Notamacropus eugenii: one gene and its partner. The protein of the gene in region 1 purifies or fractionates together with the protein of each later gene. This does not show direct contact. Links are inferred from orthologs where the notes say so. Each region holds a gene or a part of one and is shown on either strand. Other genes may lie near its edges. The genes, in order: ETV6 and LRP6.

Region 1 (12,095 bases):
GTTCAAGTAGGTGACTTACAGACTTACATTCAATCTGTGGGCTGATACTCTCAGGTGCAGCTGCTGCAGTTATCTGGGGTTCTATAGTTCTCTCTCACTCAGTTCCACTAGACTCCAGTCCTAGGCTGATATGTTTGAGATTCTGCAGTGCTGCTGCTGCTTCAGATCACCCTGGGCTTCCTGCTTGGCTCTGGTATGGTGGAGTTTGCACTGGTAAAGCCTGTGGTCTCTGTGCTCTTCCAGCCCTGTGCAACAGATCCTTCCTGTCAACCCTCTAGTCTGTCTTGGGTTGGCAATCTGCCATACTCTGTCTCCTATTGGATTCTGCCACTCTAAAATTTGTTCAGATTCTCTTTTTAGAGGTATCTGAACACGTTTGTCTTAGAATTTAGGTGGGTAGTTGCTCTCACTTGGCCATTTTGACTCTGCCTCCTACCAACCTTTTTTAAAAAAATTTTTCTTAATATTTTATTTTTCCCCAATTACATCTAAAAACAATTTTTTTTGAAATTTTGAGTTCCAAATTATTTCTCTCCCTCCTAACCCCCACCCTCATTGAGAAAGCAAGCATAATTCCAAATTCCTCTCCAGAATGGTTGAATCATTTCACAACTCCCTCAACAATGCATTTGCTGTACACATTCTCAAAGCAGTTAGAGTTCTTGTGTGAGAGACTCAGTCATGCACTAAAGACCTTGTATAAAAGGGATGAGCTTTCTTAGAACAGATTAGAAATTCTGAGGATTTGGAAGAGCAGATGAAACAGAGAGCTCCTACAGGGGCTGAAATTGAAAGAATCTTCAGGGCAACTAATGAAAGGAGAATGAACAATTAGGACTGATTTGTGGCAGAGAAAGTAGACGTGGAAGAGGGTCTTCAACCTTACTGACATGTCAGAATGGCAGCTTGACTGATGACAACAGTGTATCCACTTCCAAGAGAAATTCCGGAAAAAGATCTGCTCTCCCTCTCCCCCTCACTTTCTTTTCTGGTGACCATCTATCCAGAGACACTATAATATAAACTGCAGTTTTCTAAATGTTTCCAGTAATCTGAATTTTTCCTTAACCACAAAAAGGTCAAATAGACGTTAATGTAAATTAAGACTTTGAACCTTTGCCTATGTGTTAGGAATTTTCCTGACCAGGAGTTTGGAGTAATTGTGATGGAATTCACAACTATTAGTCTTTAAATACACTCCCTAAAGCTGCAAAAGAGGGAACTACATGGATAGTAGGGGCCATTATTCTGCCCCAAGACGTAAAATGAACTAATTATTGTAATACTTATTAAATTTCATTTTGCTAGTTTTAACCCATAATTCCAGCCTAATCATATCCTGATTCTGTCAACTGATATATTAGCTATCTCTTTCAGTTTTCCGTAAAATGTCTTCCTAAAAACCATTGATGACAATATTGAATAGGCTAGGAATACGGAGAGCTTTGTAAATATATAATGACTTCTCTTCAGGTTGACCTTAATGAGTCTGTCAGGGGCCATTGCCAGTTGTCCTGACCTGTGTCTTGCCACTGGACTCAGATGGCCCTGGAGGACAGAGCGAGGCTTATGACTTTGCACAGCCCCGTCTCAGTTAGATGCAATTCACTTGTAAGTCAAGACATCACCTCCTGATATCATTGGTCCTCCTGGAGAATGAAGGACAAACAACAAAAATGAATTTGTCAATACTCTTTAGGTTTAGTTGCCCAATCAGTTTTGAATTCACCTAACTCTTGTCTACCATCCCATATCTATCCCGTATGCTTCCATCTTGGCTATGAAGATATATCAGTGCAGACCAGATGACCAAAGAGCCATAGCAGCTCTGCAACTGCTATTTAAAAAACAATCAGAGAACTCACACAGGTTATGAAAACCACAGTTAACTCTAAAAATAAAATAAAACAAAATAAAATCAAAGAGCTAACAGTGGTTATAAGCAAAAAGCTTTCTTTATTCTGTTAGAGGAGGGAACGAGACACATATATGCCATGATCCCCTCACCCTCCACCTCCCCAGTTGGAGAATTGCTTTTGTGTGAACATAGCTCAATTCTTACACGAGTGGCTATGCAGTGAGCTGTAGCCCTGACAATGGAGGAGTAACAGCAGCAATGAAACAAGTTTTATTCATAGCAGGACTTCGTAACCAGAACACAGGTACCTGCTGCTGGTGTGAAACGATTCTGGGATTGTGCAGTGGCTGAGTTCATCCAGAGGGTGAGCTGCTAAGCTCAGGGCACAGTTTGCTTGATGGGTCTTAGCTCTGGAAAACAAGGTGTCTCCCAACAGTAAAAAGAGAAAAGCAAAAAGAGAGGGGTGGTCTTAGCATGGGGATCCCAACATTTCCTCTTCTTGGCCAAAGGGAGGGGGTCTGAAAGAACCCATTCTATTCTGGCCAAGAAAGGAGAGGCAGGTATAAACCAAGATGCCATTTGAGACCAGTTTGGCCAGGATGAGACAGGATGAGATGTCCCAGTTCAGGGACAGATGTAGTCTTAGGTTGGTGAGCTATGGGGTTAAGGTGGCAAATCTAACAATTTATTTAGCCCTTCCCCTTTGCAATGATGGAAAGGTATTTTCATCCCAGGAGGTCAGTTCCTTGACGGGGGCTTATCGGCAAAGTGAGTCCCAGGAAGGAGAACCAAGACTGTAGAGGGAGAAAATGCCAACATACTCTTGAATCAGGGCCTTGATGGTTGGACACATAACAAAAGGGAAAAGAGAAAAAACTAGGATAATATACTTAGCCTTTGTCTGGGAATCTTGGAACAATTGTCTCCTCTGGATGTTGGCTACTTCTGGGTCCTTACTAGATAAACCTTGAGGTCCCCAGAGGCTTCTGCTATCCACTAAGGAGCAAGGACTTTCTTCAAATGATCCAGGAGTCCACACCCACAAAACTGGAAACTGTAGGGGTAGTCAAAAGAACTTGGTGGGGGCTCTTAGAAACAGTTACTGATTGATCAGTATGGGGTCAGTTTTCAGATAAGATACTTTAGATGTATAATTGTGAGAAAACTCTTTGCATCAATCTTTGAATCTGAGTTTCTGGTCAGCATAACGTAGGTCCTTAGTTAAGTTTTTAAACAGCGTATAGAGATGGTCCAGTTTCCTAGCCAAACAAGGCTTGATTCAAACAATGCTATAAGGTTTTTTATAAATTCATACTCATAATTACATTGTCATGTTACATTAATGTCACATTACAGATTAAACTACTTAGAGAGCTCACAATGGACTAGTTTTGAGAAGGAGAAATTTATACGTCACCAAGAAAACTTAGACATAAATATCATGAAACAAAAGACCAAAGCAATGCACGAATTAACACCAATATGAACCAATATCAGGTCTGCTTGTATCCCGGTGATCCATTCTCAATATCCATTTAACCAGCACATTTTGAGTTTCAGATGTCTTATGTAGTTATCTGGTCCTGAAACGTCTTTTCTTGTACAATAGGTTTTATTCTCAGGACATCTATAAAAGGGTCTCTGATTTTCTGGTTCATGATCTAGAGGTTCCTAGATAATTGTGACTTAATATAGTTTGGTACAATCACTTAAATTTGGTTCTCCAATTTTGAAACTTCAGAGAATCTCAGTTTATATACCATTTGCTGTTTCTATCCTTACTTAAATCCTGTACCTGATATAAGAATACTTTTTAAAAATTTATGAAGGTCAAACTGTAAGATGAATTCTTCTGCCTTTTTAATTATTAGACAGATGCTTTAGAATTGGGAAAATAATTCTAATTCTGTTGCTTTTTTCAAAATTTACCATTCCATTTATTTAGAAAAACTGTTACATCTTTGTCTTGTTACTTTGTCTAATCATTACCCCTTTAGGAGGATAGCATCCCTACATTATATTTTGGTCATAAATACAGGTTTAAAAATTGCAAGATGCAGTTAGATAGATAGTAACTCAGAGATGTTCCTATCATTTAATAGATTTAGTATTGTATTTACAAAAATGCTTGATTATAGAAATTTGCTATAAAAGGAAAAAGAGGGACATATTTATAACATTGTCATATATCATAACAGAAGGGGAAAACTTCCTTAATTCTGTTTGATTCCAGGCATGAGTCATATCTGACATCTAATCATGAAATCACAGGGTGTTAAAAGCAAGACTCAGAATTAGCCAGGTGGGAAAACTTCTTTTTTCAGAAGGAATATAACACAATGGGGAAACAGAGTCAGGAGGATCCTATCTAAGACCAGGCCAAGGTTGTTCCCCAAACTTTTTCCTGGGCACAGACATCCAGTAACTTTAGCAGTTACTAGGCTGACAATTCAGACAACTATCCCTGTAATCGAAGTTCAAAACAATAGTAAATTACAGTCCCAAGAATTTTCTTAAATAGTAAACTTTCATAGATACAACCTAGGGCTTGAATAACTTTTCTGATATTTCCCTAACACTTAACATTTCATTTATTCTTTACAAACTAAAACTACCCATATTCTGGGGTTTCAGACATACAGCAAATACCTAAGAGTTAACTCATCATTAATATGTGGAAGCTACATCTCTGAATCACCCTATATACTTTCATAACAGCCAAAAATTTTCAAATGAAAATTTGCTATTATAGTAAACATTATTATGTGTTTTATGACAAAATATACTCCATTAAATATTTAACAGTTTTCAAATATTTCTTTTTTATCATCCTTTTAAAAGACCAATTTATAATCTAATAACATCTAGATTAAAAAGTTATTTCATCTAATAGCATATCTGTTACAATGGTTTTTCAAATTTCACAATATAAGAGAATTTAGAAATGCTATAACAAACAATAGCATGTATTTAAAACATGAAACAAAACTTCAGATGACATCAATTCAGTCAATTGAATTTCCAAATTATCCCTTATAAAAATTATTAACCTAATAACCTTTAGCATTTTAAATCCATTTTAGAGTTATCAGGTATTTAGCAATGATATTCAATTAAAGAAGTAACAATAATACAGTCCTTGGCATATGCCAGTCACGGCGTTAAGCACTTTACAATCATATCATTTTGATCCTCAACACAGTCCTGCGAGGTGGCTACTATTATTATTTTTCTCTTTCAAGATCAGAAAACTGGGGAAAACAGAGATAAGTATAGTATAAAAGTACTAAGTTTCAAGCCAAAAGACCTACGTTCATATAACTCCACTAGTTATTACCATTACTTCTATAAGACCTTGGTTTCTTCATGATGTTCATACTTGTCAGCTTTATGATCCTAAAAGCCTGTTGAAATACAGGTATGATCTGTGAATGGTCTTTTCCTCACCTACTAGTCTAGTGATCTTCCTGGCCTGCTCACTAATTCCTTGGAAAAATGACATCTTCAGCAGGCCTCTAAAGATTTATCTTGGTGCCTCCACTGTTAATACTTAAAAAAAAGGTGAGTTGGGTACATGAGCATATTGGCTCAGAGGAATGGCAGCTTCCCATTTGAAGTGCTCAGACAATATAATGTATGGGAGCAGGTTTTGCAACTGGAAGGTGCTTAACAAGGTAATTGTAAAGTTCATACTCTTAATAATTCACAGGATTCCTTTCTCCCTCTCCCCTCCCCCCAATCTGCCTGAGATCATCTTCTACCTTAAGATCCTCAAGAAAGTCCTAAGGATAAAGGGTTTTTATTTTTTTTAGGATCAGTTCCTCTAGAATGGTGCTTCCTTTTTCCTCCTGTCTTATCTACATGAACACATCCTGCCAACTTTGTAGTCCTGCAGCACATTTCAGTCGTTAGGAAGTAGCTGTTTCTTTAAAAGGACAGCACTCACTGAACGCAATTTATTTCAAAAGGGGAGGAGGTTGAGGAAAAGGAAGGGGAACTAAACTGCCTTTGATAACTGGCTACTCTTTCCTTCTCTTGAATGCAGTTTTCGTTAGAGGGGTCCCCTCCCCCAGTACTCTGAATTCAAATCAGCCTACGTCTTTCCTTTCCAGTAGGTCTATTTTCCTAGAAAAAAAAAATCTTCCTGGTTTTATCTTCTAGCCGACTTTATCTTCCTAATCCATCATTCTGGCTCAGCCTCCAGTGCTTTTGTCTCCACTGTCCCTCCCGGGCTCTCTCCAGATTTCCCTGTGTTCAGTTTGCAACCTGATCTCCCATTTCCTGGTAGATTCTCTTAAAGAGGCAGCGGTCTAGGAGAACAAAGGCTATTGTTTTATTTCCTCGTTTAGACTTCTCATCCTTAAAAGACTATCCCGGGTTTTTTATTTTTTTTACCATGGCCTTGGCGTATAGGGGGAAGAAAAACCCAACCACTCCTGCATTTTAAACGTTGCTTCCAAGGGACCAGGGGTTTTAATAAATCCTGTAGCTTCCGAATGCAAAAAAAAAAATCAATTTAACATTCTAAAATGCCCTTTATTTTTACTTATGGGATACAGTCGTTGGCACAAGACTAAAAAAAAATCTGAGGGCATAAAGGGTTGCTAAGCCCGTACTATTTTTTATTTCCTTTTGCTGGTTTCCTTATTTCCTCCTCTTCCCCTCCCCCCAGGGATGCATCGGCCTTTCGAAGTTGGGCGCTCTCCTTCCTCTTAGTTTCTACACTTTCACCTGTTTTATCTGCAGCCCCTCCTCCCCCCTCCCCACCCCACCCCCTCCGCCCCCCGCCTGCCTCCCGTCCTGCGTTTATTTCCCTGATGCCTGGCTGTAACCTGAGCTTTTATTTCCTGGTGGCTCCTTTAAGAGGCTGAGCTCTTTGCTGGGAATTCACGTCAGTTTCAGCACCGAAACTCTCAAGATCAATGAGCATAGAGGTTTCTCAGTTCGCCTTTCAGTTTCTCTCTTCCAGGAAGGAAAACATTGAGAGAGAAGAGAGGAGAAGGAGGGGGAGGGAGAGAAGGAAGGAGGCAGAAGGAAGAGGAGGAGGAGGAGGAGAAGGAGGGGGGGGGGACGGACGGACAAGCCCGAGAGAGACCCAGATAAACAGTCTCATCCACCAGACTAGCTCCCAGCCGACCCAAATACACCTCCCTCCGAGGTCCCCTGACCCCAGCCCTCCTCTCTTCCCCTTCTTCCCCCCCTCACCCCGACCTCTTTTTCCCAGCCCCCCGGAAAAGAACTGCCAGGCTGCCTCTTCTGCTGGAGGGCAGAAGCCGCAAGATTCCCGGGGTTTGTTTTTTTGGGGGGGAAGGTGGTGTTGGTGAAGATGGTTGAAGAAACTTCTTAAATGATCGCATCTGGCTGGCTGTTTGGAGGATTTCTGGGTTGGGGAAGAGGAAAGGAAAGTGGAAAAAAACTGAGAACTTCCTGATCTCTCTTGCTGTGAGACATGTCTGAGACTCCAGTTCAGTGTACCATTAAGGTAAAGATCTTTTTCCCCCTCCTCCTCCTCCTCCTCCTCCTCTTCCTCCCTGTTTTAAAAAAACCTTTTGGCTCGACCCCCGGGGGTGGGGGGTGAGGGGGAAATCAATGTTTGCTGGTTTCTTAAAAGTGGGTTCGTTTGCAGTTCCATTCGCGATCAATCTCTGGGGCTGAAGGGAAGGAGATGCAGCTTGCCGCCTATACCCTTTAATTTAACCTTGCTGTTTGTCTCCCCCCTTCTCCCTTTCCCCCCTTGTTTTTTCTTTCCCCCCTCCCCCTTTCTTTTTGACAATGAAAAGCTTTGTCACAATTGGTCAAGAAAAAAAAAGCCAGGCTTGTTTTTTGGACTGTAAAACACCCTCAAGTGATAAGTGCTGCTTTTAAAAACCCTGCCTCTGTATGTGTAACCCTAACATGTGGACGGGGGGAAATTAACTTTTATTCTGAGAAGGGTGATTTTCTCTCTCTTTCTTTAAAAAACCTAAACTTCTTTACCCTGTAATGCTGGTTGAATCCTTTCTTTTCCAAGGATTGAACGTTCTCTTCCCTCTGATTGTAATTAAAAGCTGCAATTTTGAAGGCACTGGAGAAAGAATCCTAGTGGCAGCTTTTCTTAGCATTGCACAATGAATGTTTTTGACTTTTTTTTTTTAAGGTGAATGAAGTAGTTTGTGATCAGTGCATAGGAAAGTTGAGTAGGACCCAAGTAGATAACTCCTGTGGTGCATAAGGAAAATAGAGCTATGGAAGCTGCCATAGCTAAAATGACCTTCTGTATTTGACAGGACACCGAGGAAATCTTAAACTGTAGAATTTTCCTTGTTTTCTGTCCATTCCTTACCCCCCACTTCCCCATCGGAGTTGTAAATGCAGCTGCCGAGTGTGTTTGCAAACACAGCACTCACTCTGAGTAGTGGTGTAATTAAGGTTGGTGGTACTGTTCTGGGCTGCTTCTGAAAAGTTGATCATGTGGGAACACAAGAAGGGCTGTACATTTCCCCACTCACTTTTTTCCATCCGTCTATTTATTTGATTGGCTCACTTTAAGGAGAGCATGGAAGAGCAGACTCCTTCCTGTGCAGTTCCTTCGCTTTCTTATAAGGAAGTTTGCTGGTAGCTTGGCCTGTTTTAATGTGATAGCAACACCTCGTTTTAAGTGGGTACAAAAGAAAGAAATATAAAAATCAGTTTCCACAGTCTTCAGGAAAAGCTTCTGAAACCCTCCTTCCGTATTGAGGTGCTGAGTTTTATTTAGGAGTTACCTGTTGAGAAAGTCAGTATTCTTTCTTATGCTATGTATGTGTGTGCGGTGTGTGTATATATATATATATATATATATATATATATACACACACACACACACACATATATACACACACCGCACACACATACATATATACACACACACAGACTCCCTCTCAGGAGGAAGTTAAATTTTCATGAGTTTTTAGATTGGGCTAAGGACAGAGAGGTACTTGGATCGTGATTTTTAAATTTGTTTTTGTTGTTATTTGTTTTGGTGGGAGCAGGTCTGGGGTTTTTTGCCTTAACAAAAATAACTAGTGAAACTTTTTGGTCTTAGATATTCATTCATTCATGTGTGGTTGTAGTTGTAGATTTGGAGCACCTCAGTTAAAGAACTTTTAAGTCTTCTCACACTTTTAAGAGCACATTTCTTTTACTGTGCAGATTCAATTCTCCACTGTGTTTTGTGAAATATTGTGGTATGGATAATCTAATTTATTTCATGCTTCATAACACAAACTGAGGTAGCTAAATAATAGGGTTTTAAATCAGCAAATTATATTTAGCCCTATAGCAATAAATCTAACATGAGGAAAATCTGTACTACTAACAGGGCAGTATTTTTAGGGGGAAAATACTTTTCTTGATTTCTCTCATAGAGACTGCATATATCCACTGTAAACAAGAGCTCAGATGGTGGTTGTGCCTGAGCCAGAAGGACTACTATTCTTTGTACCAGAATAGAAAAGAAATTCTGCAATTAAGAAAGAAAAAATTTAAAAACTCAAAGCCCAAACCCAAAGCCAAACATTATTTCAAGTGCATCTTAGAAATCACGTTCATAGTTTCAATATCAATTTTATTCTTATTATTGCTTCCTCTGGCATTTAATCAGGTGTTGTCACTCTTTATGATAGAGGAATAGGTGGACTTGTAATCTAGGATATCTTTAAAAAATTTATTGGTGGGTGTGTGTACATATATACATATATATCTATGTATATATAATTTGCTTAGATGGTATGTACTTTTAGATGTTCAAGAAAAGTTCTCACATTTGCACATTGGTTTGATCAAGAATTTTAAAAAGTTGTAGGGTCAAGAACTGAAATTATATCAGACTATTTGGAAAGGGTTTGGGAATGTTTCATTTCTTGGGATGTGATACAGTTACTGCATAATAAAGTATTTTTGCTGGCAACAAACAAAATCTTTGCATGGCTTCCAGATTCCAGTAAACAACAAACTTTTCTTCGGAGTGGGGAATGAATGGCAAACATGTTTGAAGGACTGTCTGATGGATCAGAGCCTGTGTGTTGTGTAGAGGAGTCTTCTGTTGCGTGTGGGAGAGTATCTTTCATGTTCCTTCCCTCCCTCCCAACAGTGATCCTTACTTTCTTTTATTCTCTTCCACAAGGGGTAAATCAGTTGGCACAGTTAATCCCTCAGCAACTGGTGTGGGAAAACCTGGAAAGACAGGGGCTGAACCGAGCCCTCCAGTTTAGGAAGGTGCTTTGTTTGCTACTGAGAAACTTTTTTTTTTTTTTTGTGACTGGAAGGAAAGTATAGTAGAATTTGAGGTGGAGGCCTCCCTCCACATGAGTGTTTCTGAATCTGCCAGTCAGCAACACTTTTGGAGTCATCTCTTATCTAGGTGGTGGTTGCTAATGCACATCTCTTAACTGGCTTTGATGCTGAGTACTTTACCAGCATTTTCTCATTTAGCAAGTAAAGATCCCTTTCTGCCCTACTGTAAAATAGTGTGTAATAGTACTATTAGCTTAATTGACTTGTCCAAGGTTGGGGGGGAAAGTTAACTGAGATAGAATTGGAATCCTTATCTCCAAGTCAGATTGCCTCCTAGCCTCAGTAGGCCATAGGAACATAGATTTAGTGCTTGAGGGAAACTTAGAGGTTTGTTCTATGGCACCGATCTAACTCTTTTAACAGTTGCAAGCATGGGATCTTAAGAGGAGACGGAGTGCTGTGGAACGTCAGGAAGACCCAGATTCAGATTCTCTTTGACACCTATGTGTGACCATGATTATCTTCTTTGCCTCTCAGGTTAATCATCTGTAAAATAGGGATAATTAATAATAGCTGTTGTGCTTAATCTCAGGATTGTTGGAAGACTCAGATAAAATAATATATACTTTGCAAATTTAAAAATGCTATATCTGATCCATTGCCCTATCTTATCATTTCTACCCTCCCAACATCTCTTTATATGTTCCTTTCTCTTCACTTATATAGCCATCACTAGTTTCAGGTCTCATTCTCTGTAGATATGGCCAAAAAGTAGTTATTTTTTACCTGGACTCCCTGCTCCATTCAGCTGCCAAGATGATTTTTCTTGACCATGTCAACTCAATGAATTCCAGTGGCTCCCCATTACCTCTAGGATCAAATACAAAGTCTTCTGTTCTTTTGGCATTAAAATTCCTTATAACTGGGCCCCTTCCAATCTTTAGAGTTTTCTTTTCACTGTTTCTCTTGCTGTCTGTCACTGTCTTTTGTCTGTCTTTCCAGCACCCAGGAGACCATTTAAGTAATGGGACTGTTGTCTAGTTAAGTCACTAATGCTTTCTGTGTGCGCTCTCTACCTCTAGGTGTAACACACCACCCTCATTGACTCAGGAATTTTCTCAACGATGATCTCCAAAGATGGACCATGCTATGATTCTGCTTTGTGGCACTGGGATTTAAAATCTGCTTTCTTTTGATTATTAAGGGAGGAAATTGGGTGAGGATAAATAAAAAGCCAACAGAGAAATTTGAGAAATAACGAGCTGTCAGGCTGCTTTAATTTTTCCTGGTTTCTTGGTGAGGAAGAGTCTTAGAATGTTCAAACTTGCTGGATACCTTAGAGGTCACCTTGTCCATCCAAGCCATTTTAAAGTTGGGGATATGGAGGCCTAGAAACAATTAAATTAAGCAGTTTGCTGGCCATCTGTTTGGTCAACAAGTGTTTGTTGAGCACTTGCTCTAAGCTTACTACTGAGTTGTAAGGAAAGAAAAAAACAAGGATTGTCTCTGGGCTCAAGGAGCTCTCATTCTAAAGGAGGACAGATGCGTATACACACATGCACACATGCACACACACTCACCGATAACTAGACATATACAAGACATACAAAACATTGATTGAACGGTGTCAGTCAATAAGCATTTATTAAGTGCCTGTTGTGTGCCAGGTACTGTGCTAAATTTTGAGGTCACCAAAAGATATTTCTTGGGATTAGAACCCAAGTATACGTTTTCCACCCCCTTGACGATATGTTGTGCCTTAGACATAAATTTATAATAGTATGCTTCTGCCACTACTAGAACCAGAACGAGCTGGATACACATTGGATTATGGGCAGCTTTGCCATTTTCCCAGACTATTTTATTTTGGAGTCAGAAGATACCTGGGTTTGAAGCCCAGCTAAAACAATTACTAGTCATGTGACCTTGGGCAAACCATCCCTTGTCTTTAAACCTCAGTTTCTCCTTCTATAAAATGGTAGTA
Region 2 (12,485 bases), about 610 kb from region 1:
TTTCATTATTAGGGTATTTAGAAGGAGCATATATAGACAGAGGGCACAGGTGTGAGTTGAATATGAAGAGATGATATCTAAAAAACAAAACTAAGAGGTTAGAGAGAAATATATTGGGAGAAAGAGAAAGGAAGAGGTAGAATGTGATAAATTATTTCACCTAAAAGAGGAAAGAAAAAGCTTTTATAGTGAAGGGAAAGAGGGGGTAGGAGAGAGGGAATAAGTGAATCTTACTCTCATAAGAATTGGCTCAGAGGGAATAACAAACACACTCAACTGAGTATAGAAATCTATCTTAACCTACAGGAAAGTAGGAGGGAAAGGGGATAAAAGAAGGGGAGGGGTGATAGAAGGGAGGGTAGATTGGAGAAAAGTGTAGTCAGAAGCAAAACACTTTCAAGGACAGGATGACAGGAGAGAGAGAATAGAATAACTGGGGGGGGGGGAAATAGGATGGAGGAAAATACTGTTAATAGTAATAATTGTGAAAAAATTTTAAAGCAAGTTTCTCTCATAAAAGCCTCATTTCTCAAACATATAGAGAACTGAGTCAAATTCATAAAAATAATAGAAGTCCCCAATTGATAAATAATCGAAAGATGTGTTCAGTTTTCAGATGAAGTAATGAAAACTATTATAGCCATATGAAATAATACTTTAATTCACTATTGATTGGAGAAATGCAAATTAAGACATTTTCATACTTATTAGATTGGCTAACAGGACAGAAACGGTAAGTGATAAATATTGGAGGGGATGTGGGAAAAATGATACATTAATGCATGGTTGGTGGAGTTGTGAACTGATTCAACCATTCTGTAGAGCAATTTGGAACTATGCCCATGGGGCTATAAAAGCATGCATAACCTTTGACTTAGCAATACCACTACTAAGTCTGTGTCCCAAGAAATACACACACACACACACACACACACACACACACACACACGCATGAAAAGGACCTATATATACAAAAATATTTATAGCAGCTCTTTTCTGGGGGCAAAGAATTACAAATTGATGGGATGCCCATCAATTGAGGAATGGCTAAACAAGCTGTGGTATGGGATTATGATGGAATACTTTTGTACTATAAGAAATGATGAGCAGGATACTCTCAGAAAAACCTGGAAAGAAGACTTGCATGGGTTGATGTCAAGTGAAATGTACTGTGTATAAAATAACAACAATATTGTAAGCTGTGAATGACTTAGTTATTTTAAGCAATTCAATGATCCAAGACAACTCTAAAGGACGTATGAGGGGCAGCTAGGTGGTGCAGTGGATAGAGCACCAGTGCAGGAGTCAGGAGGTCAAATCTCACCTCAGACACTTGACACTCACTAGCTGTGTGACCTTGGGCAAGTCACTTAACCCCAACTGCCTCATCCTGGGTCATCTCTAGTCATCCTGATGAATATCTGGCCACTGGATTCAGACGGCTCTGGAGGAGAAGTGAGGCTGGTGACCTACACAACTCTCCTTCACTCAAAATAAAGTCAAGTGCAAGTTGTCATCATTTCTCTGATGGGATGGTCTTCTTTGGCAATGAAGGACAAACACACACACACACACACACACACACACACACACACACACATATAAAGGACTTATGATGAAAAAAATGCTATCCATCCCCAGAGAAAGAACTGATATTGTCTGAATACAGATTGAAGAATACTTTTTAAACTTTATTTTTTTTTTAGGTTTTTTTGGTCTATATTTCCTTTCACAACATAACTATTATGGATATGTTTTGCATATCTACACATGTATAAGCTATAGTGAATTGCTTGCCTTCTCAATGGGAGCAAACAGTGAGGAGAGAGGAAAAAGAGAATGTAGAACTCAAAGTTTAAAAAAAAACGAATGTTAAAAGTTGTTTTTACATGTATCTGGGGAAAATAAAATACCAAATAAAATTTAAAAATAGTATTTAAAAAGGTTTCTACTAATTTCACCAGCATAGATACCAATAGCTGGGTAGAGGTCCATAAAGAGAACAGTCATTCAACAGTGGGAGTTTCTGGCCTGGAGAAGAAAATTCAGCCCCCCACCTGGGCTATGGAATTTCTAACAACTTTCCCTATATTTTCAAGCAGCTGTAGCTTTTTCACCATTTAAACCAGAAGAGAGACAAAATATTCTCTCTTGCCTCTGTTCTGAAACCCTTGTTTTAGTATATTTGCACATTACAATTGATTGAAGGAACAAAGGACAGAAATGAGAGAGAAGCTGGAAATTCAGCTCACAATGATTAATATTTAGCATATAGAAATGGGAGCATGTTTTCATGGCTTTGGCATGGGTTTTTTGAGACATTTTTATATGTATATTTCTACAGCCAATGGTAACAAATAGGAAAAAAGAATTTAATATGACAATTCTTGATTCTGCTGAGGTAGTCTCCAAATTTTAAAGCTTGCTCTACTGGTGCAGCAAATAAGTTAACATTTATTCAGGGCTCTTTTTAGTATTTCAAATACTAGGATGTCTAGCATCTATTAAGTTGAATAGCAGGGAAATACAAAGTACTAGAAAATCATTACACCTGCTTAAAGGGAACTGGGGTTTAGTATTTAGGAACTGAAGAAAGCCAAGCTTCTTTAGTACCCAAAGATCTCTCTGATCAGGCTAGAACATATATTGAGGAAATGAGGGGTGTACAGAAAGCATTTCCCTTGAATTCTCTCACGTTCTAATTTCTGAAGAATAAGCAATCTGAGAGGAGAGGACAGAGAGGTTGTCTTGCTCAAATTCAAAAAGGTAGTAGGAGGTAGAGCTAGGGATTAAACCCAGGTCCTGTGCCTCCAAGTTAGTTGATCTTTCCACTGTATCACATCACTTTTCCGTCCTCCTGAGTCTTCTCTAGGCTAAATACACCCAGTTCCTTCATATAACATAGTCTCAAAGATTTTCATTATGCTGGTTGACTTTGGATACTCTCCACTTATCAATGTCCTTAAACTGTGGTACTCATAACTGAACTTGATATTTCAGATGAGAACAGAGTACAGTAGGCTTATGACCTCCTTATTCTTAGAGGATATGCCCAGGAACACTCTAGTTTTTTTGACTGCCACACTCCTGACTCACAGCCCACTAAAACTCAGATCTTTTTCAGAACAATGACTGTCTAACCATGTTTCCCCCATCTTGTACTTACAAAGGTTCCTTTTTTCCCTATCCATGTAAGACTTTACATTTATTCCAACTGAATTTCATTTGATTAGATTCAGCCACTTCAAGATCATTTCCATCCCTAATACTATCATAAAGTGCCAGCTGTCACTTTATGCTTTTTGTTATCGGCAAATTCATTGAACATGCAATTTATACCTTTATCAAAGTCATTCATAAACATGTAGAACAGAATGGGACCAAGCATAGTTTCAATTGCCTTCAGCCATTGACAAATGGTGTATAAATCCTATCAGGATGACTGAGGAGCTTCTTCAATTTGATACAGCACTAGCAATGGCTCATACTTTATTATGTTATCAGGTAATTTAGGAAAGCTTTCCAGTTTTATTCAGGTCTCCTGATCTATGTTTTTACACCCTAATTCTGTAGGGGGATTTCTTGCTGAATCCAGTCCTCTTGGCCATTGAGGACTCTCAGCACAGTTGAACATAAATTGAACACTAAAGATGAAGTAGTACCTGAGATCCAATAAGAGCTTTCTGATTTTTTTAAGTAGCATTTATTTCTTTTTAATAATTTATTTATTTATTTTTAATTTTCAACATTCACCTCCATAAGATTTGGAGTTTTAAATTTTCTCCCTCTCCCCCTAATCCTCCATCTCCGAAGATGGTGTGCAATCTGATATGGGCTCTACTTATACATTCATATTAAACATATTTTCACTAGTCATGATATAAAGAAGAATTAGAACTAATGGGAGGAACCATGAGAAAGAAGAAACAAAACAAGCGAAGAGCAAATAGTGTGCTTGCATCTGCATTCAGTCTCCTAAGTTCTTTCTCTGGATGTGGGTAGCATTTTCCATATGAGTCTTTTGGAGTTATCTTAGATCCTTGTATTGCTGAGAAGAGCTAAGTCTTATCTAAGTCAGTCATCATACAATGTGGCTGTTACTGTGTACAATGTTCTTCAGGGGTCTGCTCATTTCACTCAGCATCAGTTCATATATGTCTTTCCAGGTTTTTCTGAAGTCTGCCTACTCATCATTTCTTATAGCACAATACTATTCCATTGCATTCATATACCACAGCTTGTTCAGCCATTCCCCAATTGACAGACATCCCCTGAGCTTTGTTTTTTTAAGCCTACAGTGGTATTCAGCATCCTCCATACACTGATCTTTCAAACTATTGAAATTGTCAGGTAAAGCCTGATTCTATGACAAAGTTGAATTTTAACTGAAGTCCATGAACTTCTTTCTCCAATATTTTTTTATAGCTATTTTAATAATATGTTTCCTTTATAATACTATGTTATTTTATTTTATGTATTTAATTATTCTGATGAATCCACAGGCTTCAGCACACTTTCCTTTCCAAGAATGCCTATTTCTATTAGGGTGGAACCAATGGCCATATTTTACAAAATTACAACTTCGAAGACTGCAAATTCCAACAAGAATTTGAATACATATGTCTGAGGAAAGAGAGAAATTCAAGAAGAGACAGCCAGTGAAAACACCTCGTGTCCTGTGTGAGGAACAACCGTGGCTGGGAAGAGTAGGTGGAAGGTGGAGTGGAAAGTAAGGTTTGAAAAGGAGAAGGTCAGATTATGAAGGGCTTTGAATATCAATAAGAAAGATAAAGCAAAGGAGGGTCCATGACACACAAAAAGGTAAAGAACCCCTAACTTAAAGGAACTGGGGTGAAATTTTGCTCCAAAGTTCATTCTCCGTGTGGCCTCGGGGCAAGTCATTTATTATATTAGCACCTTAGTTTTCTCCTCGGTAAATCGAGAACTAGATGGCCTTCCAACTTCGGGTCTCCGATCCCTTCCCATGCCTTAGGAGTTTTCATCTTGGGAACCTTCTCAGGCAGTTTGAAGCTCCTCTCTAAGTGTGAGAAGCTGAACTCTAGGAGTATCTGAGTTTCTGGGAGCACAGGACAAAAAAATCCAGTGGAGTTTCCATTGCCTCGGTTCCCAGACACGACTCGAAAGCACCTTCAATGCGACCAGTTTTTCAGTCCTTTCTTCCTTTTGGAAAACGCTGAATCCAATTCTCAGCTGACCAGCCCCTCTGGAGGAGCTGGGGAAGCTTTCCCCGAGTGTGGTGTTAAAACCCAGATGGGGGGAGGCCGTGAAAGGCGGATTGGAAGTGGTTGTCACTCAATAAAAATTTGTAACGCACCTACTACGTGCCAGGCATGAACTGGGGTAAAAGTCAGTCCCTGCTGTCAAGGAGCGCACCGTCTAACGCCGGGAGTGAGGTGGCGAGCAATTATGTATCCACAAGGAACAGGCTGGATACATTGTACATAATCTCAGAAGGCAGGCATTAGATTGCGTCACCGCCGGGCTCCCTTCCTCCGTCTCGTCCAGACCCCGCGACTCCCGGGATCCGCAAAGTTCACCTGCAAGGAGCTGCAGCGGCACAAAGAAGCGAAGAGCTCAGCCTCCGCCGGGCTCCGAGCCCGGAGAAAGTAGTCCCGACCACGCCAGCGCCAAGGTTGTTCCGAGGGTCGCTTCACAGCCTCTTCTCCAAGAGCGCCGAGCCCGAGAGGGAGCAAGAAAAGAATCCCATCGGAATGCGACAATGGCTTGTCCTTTTCTCCTCCTCCCCACCCCCACCCTCACCTCTCCGGCAGCAGAATTAGAAAAACAACAGTAACCACAAAACAACAAAAACCTCTTCTCTTCTTTGCCCACAAGGTGGGCTTTCTGCCTGGGGAGAGACCCAAAGAAATCTCTAGTGGTCCCAAAGCTCGCCAGCTGATTCCTTCCCGCCCCCTCGTTTGCATAGCTGAATAGGAATGGATGTCGGCCGAGGGGAGGCTCCCAGGGAGCTGGGGGAGAGGGGGAGGAGAGAAGGAGGCTGACTGGGAGCATTGAGAAAGGAGGAGGAGAGAAGGGGAGGGGGCCGGGAGGGGAGAAAGAGAAAGGCAGAGGAGGGGGAGGGCCGGGGAGCGCAGGAGAGAGCGAGCGCGGCCCGGGCCGGGCGCGGGGCTCCTTCTGCCTGTGTATCCTTGCGCCGCCGCCGCCGCCGCCGCCGCCGCCGCGCTGGGAGGAGGCGGAGGCTGAATGAGGAGCTGCGTGGAGCCCGCGGAGGAGCCGCCGCTGCCGCAGGGGGAGCGGGCTGGAGAATGGAACGAGACGCTGGCCGCCGCCGCCGCCGCCGGGGCACCCCCGAGGGAGAAGTAGCGCTGTAGAGCGGACGGCGAAGGCGGCTCCCGGGAGCGGAGCGGAGCGGGAGAGAGAGACGCAGAGAAGGGGCAGCGAGCGAGGGCCGGCGCCCGATTCTTTCTTCTCTTTCGGCCGAGCTCGGGCAGCATGACCGTGCGGGGCGGCCGCGGCGGCCCCGGCTCCTCTCCGCCGCCTCCCCCTCCTCGGGCTGCCTTGAGCCGGTGAGAGGAGAGAGAAAGCGAGGAGGCGGAGGAGGGGAAGATGGGGGCCGTCCTGAGGAGCCTCTTGGCCTGCAGCTTCTGCGTCCTCCTGAGAGGTGAGCTCCCAGTGGAGGGTGAGGAAAGACCGGGCGCGGGGGGAAGGGGGGCACGCCGCGACGCCCGAGTTAAGGAGATTTATCGTTTTTTGTTTGTGTGCCTCTTGTGTGTTGGGGGCTGGAGGGAGGGGGAGGGGCAGGGGAGGCGAGCCAGGGGGGAGAAGAGGCGAGAGGCCGGGCCTGGCTGCGGGAGAAGGAGGAGAGAAAGGGGCCCAGGAGAAGGGGCTGCAGCCTTTGGTTCAGGAGTGACACAATGCAGGCTAGCCCTTTGGGGGCTTTCTCCACCTGGACTCCAGGGGTCGGGGTCCCTCGTTCGGGGGAATCCCTGCCCGGATCTTTCCTGGCCGTGTGTCGCTCGGTGTGTGTGAGCATGTGTACCCGTGTGTTGGGGCAGCGAGGTTGAAGGGGGAATAATCATCCTAGAGGAGAGATTTCTTTGTGTTCGTTTTTTACTTTTGGAAAGTTTGAATACTAGGTGCAAGGGCTTCCTCTTCTTCCCCACCTCACTCCTATTTATTGGGGGAGAGCGTTCTAGAGTCCTCATAATTATTTTGTGCAACCTTTGTTACGATTGATAAATTAACTCCTCTTTGGGGATATAGCAGCCCTGGATGAGGACACACTTGGAAAGTAGTCGTGGTGTTCTGGCCCGGGAAGTTTTCTAATCTTTGGTTAGGAATCCATTGGATAGGTTTCCTATTTTGCCCTTGGCTAGTTCTGAGCATGCAGGTATACTAGTTGGCATCCAGTGGGAAAGTCATCCTTATGGAACAGGAACTTGAGCTAACATTTCATAGGCTCATTTGTGGAGCACCCACTGAGTGCTTGATTTGTTGTTGGATGTCAGGAACTCTCTTAGATTCTTTGCCCTTAAAATAACTAATATTCCACGATTCTTTGGTATTTTGAACTGTTCTCTGAAGTTGACACATGCTTTGTGGTTTTTTATCAGCCCTCCCTAGACGTCCTTTGCAAGATATTCACTATCCTTTTTAAAAATTAACAATGAAATAGTGATATTTCTGATGTCATTTAGCTGATAAGTTTAAGTGCTGATATTATGGTTTAGATCTTCAGTTTTTATTACTATTCTTGTTTGCACATGACCCAATTTTTTTCAGACTTCAAGCCTTCTGCCCCATGCACATTTACAGGGGTAGTATAACAACATAAAATTTAAATGCTAGTAAAATAAGTTCATTCTAAACTTACTGAATTTTCATGGAACATAAAGATAGATAATGTGTTATGAATTTAACTGGGAATTTCTACTTGCAGAAATTTATTTGGAGGGAATAGTGAAAATATGTTGGATAGATAAACATTCTTTGTTTATCTTGTATCGTACTATTATTTAACTTAATAATTATAACTCAGACACATTTGCTTCTTCAAATGTAAGTTGTAGGAGGGCAGGGACCAATTAACAAGATGACCCTAGAAGTTGGTGATGTACTGACTATGAGATGTTTGCTTAGATTGATTTTACTTTTTTGTTCTTGTTGTTTATTGAAACAGAAGAATTTTGGTGCATCCAGAAGTAGTTATCTTTTTTTGACTTAAATCTCTTTTCTGTTTTGACAGAGGTTTATAGTTAATCTGAAGTCCCATTTGTGATTTCATTGGGTTTAGGGAACTTCTGATTTGGAAACTGTCCATCCATGCCTATCTGCAACCTCTGTAATTTACAATTGGTGCCCTAGTGCCTGGGGCAGTAAGTGACTTGCCCATGTTCACCAGCTGTTATGTGTCAATACTTTTATGAAGGCCTTCCTAACTACATGGCCTTCTGTCCCTGTTATATCTTTTTTTGTGTGTTTTCTTTAGGCTTAGTTTCATCAGTGTAGCATAATACTGATTTTGTTTTTTTATACCAAAATTGTATTTTGGTATATCTATATAGTTATTATTTAATTATTTATCCATTCATCCTTATTTTATTTGCTCTCTTGCCCCAAGACTTCTATCTTGATCCTCTGGGCCATAGTCACTTATTCACAATATCTAACCTTAGAATTCAAATTTAAAAATATATATATATATTTATATATATGATCAGTCTCTGTTTACCTGTTTGCATCTAAGGAACTATGATGCTAGTGATCCTGATTCCCAGCCAGGTTTTATTTCTAGCCCTATTTGGGGAGAGGGAACTGGCTGAAAAGTGGAGAGGATTTTTGCTGCCCCATAGCCAAGTTTTGTGACAGGGACTCTTTCTATGTCACACCGTTTTTTGCTGTTTGTATTAATGCTTTCCTTCAGTGGGTGGGAAGAATTAGAGATGAAAGATGTTATTTTTTTTCTTACAGCTTGATTTGCCAAGTGAGGAAACGGTTTCAGAGAGGTTAAATGACCCTTAAAGGTGAATAGCTTGTAACTGGGATCTTAAATACTACATCATGCCACCTCCCAGAGTATTGACTGTAGTGGGAAAATTTCTTTTAGTGCTCTATTGGTGTATGTTTATCCTGTTTCATGAAGATTAAACATACCCTACATGCAGAAACATTTCCGATCAGAGTATTGAATACTCTCTAATTTGGTTAATGTATAGATGGCAACTAACCGAAACAAATTCTTTACTCATCCTGAATGACAGTCTATGCTTAAATAAAAATGATTTATAGGTGGAAGGATAGTGATGGATATGACCAAGTTCATTTTAATAGAAGAAAAAGTTTGATTCATGAATTACAGAAGTGACTCTCTAGAACAGATTTGTTCCTTAAAATCAAATATTAATTTGGCTTGAGAATAAAATTACTGGCCAAGTTTTTCTTTCACATTAGTATCCAGATGAGAGGCTGTAAAACTTTAGGTTTTAGTATTTTGTTTTGTTTTGGAGGAGGGAGGGAGAGAAAAAATTTTTATTCTTGTCTTTTGTTTTTAAATCAGTGTTCATGTAGTTTTCTTCCAGTTCTCTCTTCTTCTCTCTCTCTCCCCTGCCCCACACTTACCCCTCACTGAGTCCCCTTCTAAGAAAAACAGTGAAGCAAAAACTAGGGGGTGGGATGGAGTATATTTCATTTGTTCTTTGAGAACAAGCTTGCATATTAAAATTATTCTAGCATCTTGTTAGCTTGAATATAACTGCAGACTTTTATTGGTCAAATTTTCAAAGTTGGGTTTATTCATAGTTTAGACTAAAGAACTGTGCTTTACTGCTTAATTTTTTTCCCCAGTTAACAAGCATTTATTTTGTTTCCCATTCCCCCTCCCATTAAAACAACAACAGAATGAAAATCTTACTCTTGTGGCAAATATAGTCAAGCAAAACCAGTTCCCAGTACTTTTCATTAGTGTTTGTAACAATTTTTTTTTTTTTGTCGGGATCTGACCCGTTGTATCGCAAGTTGTAGATTGTGGGGTCATGTTTAAATGCAGTAAGAACATCAGTTATTTTCATTACAGTAAGCTTGCTTTGCTTTTAGTGTATAGTATCAGTGTTGAAAGTTAGCTTTAAAAAAAATTTTTGGAATAAACACCCTGAAGGGGAGACCAAGAGAGTAAAAATGAGATTTTTAATTTGGAAACTAACTTTGAAGATCATTATATTAAAACAATGATCAGCAAATAAGTAGATGTGTGTATGAATATAGATAAAATAAGTAAATGTTTGAGTTTGAACAGTGATTTTAATTTATTAAATTTTTTTCAGGGAGTTGTATTATTTACACACAACAAACTTGTATATGTAGAAAAGTGTTGAACTGACAGAATTACTCTTGCCTAATGGTTGGGCACACACATGCACACACACATGCACACACACATACACACACACAGTGTTAGTATCTTGTATTTGTCACTGTGATTTCATTAGCATAGGGAACTTTCCAATGAGGAAACTTTCTTTACTTTATGTCTGTAATTATTCAGTAATTTACAGTCTTAGTGACTTGACTAGGACATTGAGAGATTAAGCTTGTATACATCAGAGTTGGGACTGGACCCCTGACTGAAATCCTGGAACACTATCTGCTTGTCTTACCTTAGCTCTTATGTCCTTATATCTATATATATGTATGTCACCATTTTTTATCCTGTGATATTTAGTGTAAATGATTTTGAAAAGCTGTCAAATCAGTGAAAGAGGAGAATAAGGTATTTTCCTCCTTGCAAAATTAATGCACCTTTAGAATCACTTTATAGATTGTTTCTGAAATGTTTAAAAAGTGAAAAACTTACTTTAATCTATCATTCTTTTGCTTTTTGCTCAGCTTATTATTTTGGAGGGGGGGACCCTGTCAATCATCCCCCATTCCACCCATACTTTTTCTTTCCTCAGTACCTTAAGTATTTTCATACCAATAAATGGCATAAGGAATCAGGAATAAGAATGAAAAATAGTAGCATCTTCATGTGTTGTTTTTGGTGAAAAGCAATGGTACTGGTTAATATGATTCTACTAGCTCAAATGAAGTATACTCTTTTTTTTTTTTAGATGAATATATTGCTTAGAAGGGTCATGAATGGTCATAGGATCATATATCTGTCAGTGACTGGAAAGGACATTTCTTTTTATAGATGAGGGGAAATGATTTGCCCAAGGTCTTGCAGCTGGGATTTGAACTGGGATGTGATCACAAGTTTAGTACTATTTGGAACTAATTTTGAGAAAAGAATTGGTTTGAGAGGAGAAGAAATGTGAAGTCACATGACATGTTAACAGGAAATATGCAGCTTGATTTTTTTGTATTCTAGTAATGGTACAGATGACTGAATATATGAATAAGTTATGAATTTATAAATATTATTGAACATTTTCTTAATATCACAAATTAAGTTTAGAAAACAGACTTATTTCAATGGATCTATCACCTAATTGATATAGGTATTCTTTATAACTATGGTAAAGCTTGCAACCTATTCATATATTCTCTTGTGCTATTCTTATCTATGAATTCCTATGAATCCTCTGCAAATCCACCTAATGTTCTAGGGATTTTATGCTGGACTGTTGATATTGGGTGGATACATGACCATCTTCTTCTCTGGGCATGTATCTTTTTGGTGATACCTTTTTATTGCTGTTCCTTTGCAGTTTTTCCTCAGTGACACTTTGTTACTTACTCATATTCACCTTCCATTGCCTTTTGGGTTGCTGCCACTTTGATTATTGGAAGACTGTAGTATTCTGTGAACAGCAGAATGTTGATGTTAAAAAGATGAGCCTTTGTTTCAGGGAAAACCTCAAGTTTAAAAGCACTGTACAGTTTCCAAAATGCTATTACAGACTATTCTTTTCTTCCTGTTTAATTCTGGGTCCAGTTCATTATCCATCTACAGTGCCTAGTCAAGACATACATATATATACTTGTAGAGTTACTGTGGGCTCTCTGACTATCTGGACAATAGGCATTTTTCATCCACTTGGTATTTTCTGTGCAGACAGGCAAAACTCCCATGATTATAGGTGTCATTTAGAAGGTGTTGCCATCTTCTAGGGCTTGAGGTATTGTAATTTACCAACAAGAATTATTTGGAAAATCTTACATTTAAAGAGAATACTTTTTAAGTTTGGATTTTGTACCGGACATTCTTCAGAACCATGACAAACACTTTTAGTAAGTAGGTCCCTCTGTTTTATTCTTAGTTGATATTAATAATAGAAGATTGAGAAAAAATTAATTTTGTTACTATTTAAGTAATCTTAAATCAGTTTAACACATGCATGGGAGGAGAGCCTTCAATGTGGCATATTGCTTTGCTGAATCAAATGCTTTTTTATAGTCAACAAATAACACAGTGAAATGTTGTATTCTTTGCACCTTTTAATCACTTGTGATTGTAAAATTGTGGTTTGCTATAGAATATCATTTCTAAAAGCCTGATTGTTCTA

Evidence for each region.
Region 2: the proteins of ETV6 (region 1) and LRP6 purify together in Homo sapiens (affinity purification with mass spectrometry; 3 studies listed by BioGRID and IntAct, counting the BioPlex papers as one, with this or other methods). This does not show direct contact. The link is inferred for Notamacropus eugenii from reciprocal best matches to the Homo sapiens genes ETV6 and LRP6.

What each region holds. Positions count from the first base shown.
Region 1 is NC_092874.1:199,377,059-199,389,153, reverse strand, and holds the start of ETV6 (transcription factor ETV6), read left to right. Parts: upstream 1-6,694; 5' UTR 6,695-7,307; coding exon of another isoform or gene 7,308-7,340; intron 7,341-12,095. UniProt on the Homo sapiens protein: Transcriptional repressor; binds to the DNA sequence 5'-CCGGAAGT-3'. Plays a role in hematopoiesis and malignant transformation.
Region 2 is NC_092874.1:198,768,965-198,781,449, forward strand, and holds the start of LRP6 (low-density lipoprotein receptor-related protein 6), read left to right. Parts: upstream 1-6,524; 5' UTR 6,525-6,588; coding exon 6,589-6,643; intron 6,644-12,485. UniProt on the Homo sapiens protein: Component of the Wnt-Fzd-LRP5-LRP6 complex that triggers beta-catenin signaling through inducing aggregation of receptor-ligand complexes into ribosome-sized signalosomes.